Coturnix japonica: one gene and its partner. The protein of the gene in region 1 interacts with the protein of each later gene in a pairwise test. Links are inferred from orthologs where the notes say so. Each region holds a gene or a part of one and is shown on either strand. Other genes may lie near its edges.

Evidence for each region. The genes of interacting proteins can lie anywhere in the genome.
Region 2: the proteins of TXLNB (region 1) and LURAP1 interact in binary tests that used the Homo sapiens proteins (3 or more experiments, as listed by UniProt). The two-hybrid records come from large-scale screens. The link is inferred for Coturnix japonica from reciprocal best matches to the Homo sapiens genes TXLNB and LURAP1.

Annotation. Positions count from the first base shown.
Region 1 is NC_029518.1:48,828,089-48,831,600, forward strand, and holds part of TXLNB (beta-taxilin), read left to right. Parts: intron 1-1,133; 5' UTR 1,134-1,227; intron 1,228-2,896; 5' UTR 2,897-2,910; coding exon 2,911-3,328; intron 3,329-3,512. UniProt on the Homo sapiens protein: Promotes motor nerve regeneration. May be involved in intracellular vesicle traffic.
Region 2 is NC_029523.1:19,084,908-19,089,195, forward strand, and holds the start of LURAP1 (leucine rich adaptor protein 1), read left to right. Parts: upstream 1-1,486; 5' UTR 1,487-1,541; coding exon 1,542-1,736; intron 1,737-4,221; coding exon 4,222-4,288. Other genes in the region: POMGNT1 (protein O-linked-mannose beta-1,2-N-acetylglucosaminyltransferase 1), read right to left, coding at 463-573. UniProt on the Homo sapiens protein: Acts as an activator of the canonical NF-kappa-B pathway and drive the production of pro-inflammatory cytokines. Promotes the antigen (Ag)-presenting and priming function of dendritic cells via the canonical NF-kappa-B pathway.

The sequences.
Region 1 (3,512 bases):
TTGTTTTGTTTGTTTTCAAAACATTCAGTTTCTCTTCAGTTCACCCACGTGTTTCACTTCTAACTGAGAAACACTGTTTATAACTCAATCATTGCTGCTGATTTAGAACCTACTGTGTTTGTAGGCAGTCTTAGTGATTCACTTAGGAGAAGAACCTTAGCCAGACAGTGATGCTTCATGAGTGATGCTGTTAAGACTTGGAAGAGAGCCATGAGCCAGCATGATGACATGGCTGACGGAAGTAGGGACTTCACCGCAAGGAGCCATGATATGGGTTAGGGTCAGGGCTGGGTATGTGGGGAGTTCAGAGATAGATACAGATTGCAAACCCACCAGCACTTTCGCAGTGATAGGGCAGGTCCATAGGCAAGCAGGGATGCCCTACTGATGCATTCAGGTCTGGGACAAAGCGAATAGAGGCTGAAGATGCGCATAGGTGCGTCTGGGACCTTGCTGTGATCGAGGGGGCTACTGGTATGCCCACAGCTGAAAAGCAGCTCCCAAGGGAAAGCAGGGCCAGGTTCTGGCTTCCAGTGCTCTTCACAAGAGCTCTTAGTGGAGAAGAACTGACATAGGACACAGCCATCCCACTTCATGTCTTCAACAAGACTTCAGGGGTTCACTACGAGTCCTGATAGAAGGAGCATCAACATGTGCCTTCTTACAGAGAAGGGGAGGTAGGAAGAAGAGAAACTCGTGTTTGAGAGTGAAGCATTTGTGATCTGATTATCCTTCTGTGTTGAACATATTACAAAACAACATGGCTTAAATTGGGGATATATTTCACAACATTTTTTTCCTATCTAAACAAGAGCTGATGATCCTGGATTTTCTAGCTGATTGATTGCCAATTGCCAATTACCTCAAATTAATGAATACAATTGTAAATACTAGCCTGAACATGTCAGAAACAAAAACATATTTTGCAGAGCTTCTAGCTTAGCATTTGCAGTAATATTACTGAAGTGGTATTAATTGGCTGTCAATTAATGCTAGTCAAAACAAGATCACAAACGTCTGCCTAACCTGAAATTGCTTACCTAAATTGTACATGTAAGGCCTAATCTTTCAAGATAAACTGAAGTCAGTAGGACACCAAATCTGACCAATATAAGTTTACCATCACTTTTCAGACTGTGCCAAATGTAGAAAGGAAAGAATCAGATGCATCTGCCTGATGGGGTCCATGAGACTGCATCCAGCTGTCTTTCCAAGTCATTGCTGTTGGTGAGTTGTGTTTGGAGGGGGCCATGGTTCTGTAGATACCAGCTTTTAGGCACATCTTGAGCCACACTCAAAGCTTTCAAATATAGTCTTACAGTGAATTGCTTTAGAGATGATGAAACATAATATTTGAGTACCATATCCATAAGTCTGATCAGATATCTCACCAATCAAATCTTGAAAAGTATTAGCCTTAGTAGTGACAGTTACTGCAGTACTGAGAACCACTTTGACTGGGGAGATTTTAACAACAAACACCATGTCATGTATAACAATGAACTACAACTCTGTTATCACACACTGCCTTTGGCCAAGTTTGTTTATGTCTCTGAAAGCTGCAGAAGCTTAGACACCATAGCAAATATATGTTACAGCCAACTGAACAGGAAACAAAATGCTTCTCATTTAGCTCCATATTTTCAAAACAAGTTGTCTTTTCAAAAATAAGAAAGCAGCTTCCTTAGATCTGACAAAGCAATATCCTTCCTGTTCCTTGTCCCCACTAAGTACCTGGCTGACATTATTATGAATCATATAATTACAAGAAGGAATGTTGAAACACATCATCCACCACCTCACTGCTCAGCATTCAGCAAGTGTCGATGAATGTGCCAATTCCACATGTTTGCTTCATCTGTACTTTATCAAAAGAAAAAGCACTGCGTATTTTTCTCTGTTCACAGGACTGTGTCTAGCCAACGTATCAAAATCCATCAACGTATCTGCCAGCACTGTGAGCTGGCACTGCCCTGTGCCTCCATGGGGCTGATAGCACTCCCATGTTTGGTTGGTGCTGAGGGGCCGGGCTGCTGCCATGATGGCATGGGGCAGGGGGAGGCCACAGTGCCAGCTGTGCCGGGCTGCATGCAGCCTGTGGGCTGTGGGTTGGATGTGTCTGGAAAAATGCAAAGTCTCCACTGCAAGTTGGGGAGCCAATTATGCAACATTCAAACCAGATACTAGCATTGAATATCAATTTGTGTTACACCTGGTTGATTTTACAATGCTCTGATTTATTCAGCGCTTTGTACTTTATCAAACAAGCTGTCAGCAGTGCACTGCAAGTACAAGAGAAAGGTGGTTTGTAGTTGTTTATCTTATTATGAACTGTTTGTTGCTGTTACTATGTCACTGCCAGGCAAGGCCATTCACATATCAAGCATCATGCTGGGCACTCCAAGAGCATAATTCTCAGTTCTCTAGCTTCTTCTAAAAACTTCATTTTCCTTATTATTGACTTAAGATGTGCTGATGGGTGAGAAACAGGAAGTGAAAGTGATGCAAATCTGAAGCAAAGCTGCCTGTGTCAATAGCCAGTATTGCAGGTGAAACTAATCAAGAAAAACAAGCAAGTGGCAAATTGTGTTCAGAGAAGGAAGTAGTATGGATGGCTCTGGTGCCCTTTTGTGCTTTATCACTTGCAACAGTAACAAGAGGTCAAGCTTTGTCAGTGTTATCTTCCTCTTGGCAGATGTACAATTCACTTTTCTCCCAACAGGTAAATCACCTCGTTGGTTTGTTTCAGTGTGTTGTATTCATCAAGCCAAAGTGAAAGGATGACCTGCCACACCAAATCCCACACCAGATCACTCACATCCTGGCCAAGCCTTGTGATCACTGAGAAAACTGATTTCTCTGCTTTTAAATTAACTCTATGTTGTTTTGCTGTCAGGTACTGCACCAAGCATGGAGAATGACCAGTTCACCGAGAAGCAGCAGCAGGTTTCCACTTCACCTAGGCAAGACATTCAGGGACAAAGCAAGGAGGAACCTGTCCCCAGCTCACAGCCCCTGCCCCCCACAGACCAAACCAGTGCCCAGACTGAAGCAGCCACATGTGACATCTCAGAGGAGCTGAGCCGGCAACTGGAGGACATTATTAAAACCTATGGGTCTGCAGCAAGTCTGATGGAGAAGGATGGCACTACAGCAGGAACTGACAAGCTGGAGAAGGGAGATGTGGGCAATATGGAGGATGCAGAGTATGAGGATGCAAATGAAGAAAGTGAGAAAGACAAACCAGCCCCTGGAGATGCTTCAAGAGCAAAGGAGCCCAGCACTAGCAAGGAACAAAAGCTGGAGAAGAAAATCCTGAAAGGACTAGGCAAGTGCTTGTGTACTTACATAGCTATTCTGCTAACAGTAGTAAAACCTCCCTGGGCTTCACTTTTTCCTTTTTTAAGTCTTTGCTATGGCTGATAGGGACCACTGAAAACCACGGCAGCTGTCATAACTTTATTTGATAAAAATTGTCAGCAGTTACCTAAAAGATACAGTGGGCTTTATCA
Region 2 (4,288 bases), on another chromosome or scaffold:
AGCACAGTCAAGCAGGTCTGGAGCTCCCCCAGACACCAGCTGCCTCTGGGGCACAAGATCCCACTCCTCAGCCTATTTTCTCTGAGCACCTACTGTGCCTTACACCAGGCTTGGTTTGCAAATCATATTTGCCATGGATGGTCCCTAACTGCAGGCAGAGTCCTGATGCACATAGCACGGCCATACTTTCATCTGAAAGCCTCCCAGGAAAGCCTGCATAAGTGTATCTCCAGTCATAACCAGTCCATTTGCAAATAGAAGGAGCTGGTAGATATGGCAGAATACTCCACACACAAGCACAAAGCTAGTGAGATGGCTCTTCTAGGGACATGTTATACATCCCCGACATATTAGGTCACATAGGACTCCAAGCAGACCCACCTCCACCCCCACATCTGCTCCATAAGCTCGTAAACCCCAGATTATCCTCTCTAATCCACCCCAGGCTGGCGAATGAATCACCTGGCACAGCTTCCTCAGCGCCCGCTGGTTCATCAGCTTGTACTTCCAGGCCAGGTACCAGCTCCTCTTCTTGTGGGGCTTGATGATGGGGTTGTGCTTCCACTCGTCCATAGTCACAAGGGCTGCATGGGGTGAGGGTCAGGATGCGCTCAGCTCCTCTTGTGTGTCCATCGGGGCACCCTGTCCAGATGGGGTGGATACAAGGCGAGGTGTAGAGCACAGCCAGAGCGTGTCACCAGGGGTGGCTGTGAACGAGGACACAACACGAAAGCTGCATGAAACTGAAGAGTGAGCAAACCCTCCCCACCAGCCCCACAGGGACACGAGGCTGTGCTGGAAGACCCCATAAGGAGGACAAGGCCCAGAAAGGACCGTGCTGCTGCAAAGCCCACAGGTACATAGCGGGACACTGGGGCCGGGACGTGGCCCTGCGGTAAGGCCGGGCCTCCCCCACACAGCCAGAGGGAAGAGGAGGCCGAAGGAACGGGGGACACGGGGGGACACACGGGGAGGACGTCGGGGCGGACACAGAGCTCAGCGTGGCTCCGACCGCGCTACTCACAGTGAGGCCGGCGGGCGGTGAGCGGAGCGGGGCAGGGCCCAGCCCGGCCGGGCGCCGCCGCAGCCCCTCAGCAGCAGCGGGGCCGCGCCGCTTCCGGCGCCGCAGAGACGCGAGGGGGCGTGAATTCCTTTAACCCCGCCCACCTGACGGCGCTCTGCGCTGCCTGGAGGACTCCGCTGGTACGTGGGCAGGGGGCGGGGCCGGGAGGAGGTATCACAGTCTCATAGTCTCATAGTCTCATAGTATCACAGTCTGGTGCGGGTTGGAAGGGACCTTAGAGATCATCGAGTCCAACCCCCGGGATTCGAGCCTCTGTGTAGCAGAGCGGCACTTCTAGACTTGTGCCACAGGGGGGATTCGAACCCGGACTCCAGTGTTGCAAGGCGGCATTCCTACCACTGCGCCACCGGGGGAGGTGGCGTGGCCAGAGCGCAGGGGGCGTGGTTAAAGCGCAGGGGGCGTGTCCGTGGTGACAGCTCCGCCGCCTCCTCCCGCGCGGTGCCGCCGCCCCACCCGCATGGAGGGCGGTGGGGATGCGCTGCCCGCGGACCTGCGGGAGCTGCTGGGCAAGGTGGGCCGCCGCCCCCCCGCCGGGCTGTTAAGGGGGCTCCGCTCCGAGCCCGCCCCCTCCCCGCCGTCCCCGCTGCCGGCTCCGGTTCGCGGTGCCCGCCCGCCGCTCGCCGATCGCCTCCGTGCGCTCCGCTTGGAGCTGGTGAGTGCCGGGGGTGGGGGTACGGGGCCGTCCCGGGGCTCTCCGGATCTCCGCATCGCCGCTCGCCCCCGGGAGCCGCGGGTTGCTCCTCTCCTCTCTCCTCTCTCCTCTCTCCTCTCTCCTCTCTCCTCTCCCACGCGCGGGCACCGAACGCGGCGTTTCCATAGGGAAACCGCCTCACTGCGGCTGCGGGGTGGGGGCCCGTCCTTGGCCGTGTGCTGTCCCCGTGTCGCCTCCATCCCGCACTCTGACCGCGGAAGGAAGGTGCGGAGCTCGGGCTGCTGGGAGGAGGAGGAAGGGAGAGGAGGAGGAAGGCCGCCTGCCCCGCACCTTTGGGCCCTGACTTTGAACTGTGACCGATGTAACATTGGGGTTAAAATGCCATTAGGACCCGAAATGTGGCACGGCACCGCACCCGGCTCCGCGCAACCCCATTAATGCAACGGCGCTTCGCCCCGCGTGGGCGGCACGGGGAGGGGACAGCGCGTTCCCACTCGCTTTCCCTGAGCGAGGGAGGATATTGTGTCCCTGGGGGCAAATTCCTCTCTGCGGGAAGGAGGGAAGCATGAATGGGGCGGGGGAGTGGATTCTGCCCCCGTGCAGGGCAAAGAGCCTTTAGTGCCCTTGGGGGATGAAGGAGATGGGCAGAGTTGTTGTGAAGGTGAAAATCTCGACTCCAGCTTTGTCCCCTGACACTTTAGCTCATCTTTTCACCCCGTTATTCCAAAACTGGCAGTCTCCAAGGGAAAAAAGGTGCCAATGGGTGCTGAGCAGAGATAGGAGACTGCAGTGCTGGGAGGATGGGATGGAACAGGGAAACTGAGGCATAATGTGGTGCCCTGAGAACAGGGAGCCCTGGTGGGTCTCTCTGGGAAAGATACTTTGTGGGGAGGAGATGTGCAAATGACACTTTCCAGCAATGGGAACTAAAAGCAGGTAGTGTGTTCCCATCAGCACCCAGCCCCTAACATCTGAATCTGGAACCTTGCTCCTTCCCTACCCTCTGGCAGCACCACTCCATGTGCTGGGGAAAAATGGCACTGCTCAGGGCCTGGAGACAGTGTCAGGAGGTCCCAGACTCCCTCCGTGCCAGGGCCAGTGCTCCATTGGAACGTGTGGAGAAGCCTGCTGGAGCAGTTTGTGAAATAGCTTGCCTAGAAAGGAAGTTTCTGCAGCTCAGAGCTGGCTGCTGCCCCAATCTGGGCTGTCAGCAGCTCTCCCATCTTTTTTTTTTTTTTTTTCAGTCCAGCCTGGTGGCTTTGAGGAGGGTCAGGGAGGTTTGTTTTCAGATCCCTGCAAGTATCTGCCCATTTTCTCTGTACCCTCTGACTCAAGAGGCGTCCCGTGCCAAGACCTTGACAGAACTTTCCCATGCTCCATCCTCCTCCCAGTGGCCTTGTCCTGGTGCCTGCTGTGAGATGCAGACGGGGTTCCTCGGAGACCTGTTGAGGGGATGCTGCCATTTCCCATTGGGCTTGGCTGGAGTGATGCTCAGAGCTGCGTTCTGTGAGCTCCCAAAGCACGAGTGCTGCATGCAGCTTGGGTTGTGTTTGGAGATATGGTGCCCACAGCAGCCGATGGGCTGCCCCCTCATCTCCCCTCACCTGTACCTGTCCCACTGTGTGTTTTTTTTCTCCCTTCTCCCACTGCCCTTTTGTTCCCTTTACTGGTGAAATATTTTCCTCCTGTGCAGGGGAAATCCAGTGGCTTTCAGCGGCGAGCATCATACAGACAGGAATGTCTTGGCACGCTGAGCTTTCCATTAGGAAAACAGATGTTTGTGCAGCAGCTGCGGTTCTGCAGAGAGCTTCTCCCGGCCTTGCAGGGCAGGAACTGGCTGTGCAGGGAGGGAGTGGCGATGGGGACTCCAGCCCCTGTCCAGGATTGCTCCAGGATGGGCTCAAGCAGGACGGGCACTTTGTGCCACCTCTGTTTTTTTCTCACCTTCTAGCTGGGAGCTTTGGGTGTGACTGGGGTCTTGGGCTTCAAAGACTTCCATGATGTTTCTGTTCTATGGGGGAAAGGACCATTGTCCTATGGTCTCTGAATGCATGGAGGAGATCTGGAATCACTTGGGAAGTGCTCACAATACAGAGGTGGGACTGGACCTTACTCTGGGGGTTGTCCTACTGCATCCCTGCTCAGTGCCACCAGGGTCTGGGAGTATGTCTGGGCTCAGATCTGGACCCAGTGCCTGCATCTATTCCCTTGTCCCTGTTCCTGTGGGGGTGGCTGTAGTTGGGGATGGCTGTGTGAATGCTGTATGTCCCTGATGGTGTTGCCTGCAAGTCTCAGATAGGACTGAAGGGGAAGGGGAAGGAAGGGGACACGTTGTTCCCAGTGGGAACCTGGAGCTGGAGGTGGGCAGCACGTCCCCATGTCCCCGCCTTACCCTTTCTTTATCCAGCTGAGACTTGGGGTTCTCCTGGGATGGAAGGCACAGCACATCCATCTCGCTGAGCCACGCTTTCTGTCTCCCCACCAGGCATACCTGCGCGCAGTGGACGTGAAGATCCTGCAGCAGCTGGTGGCAGTCAACGAGGGCATCGAGG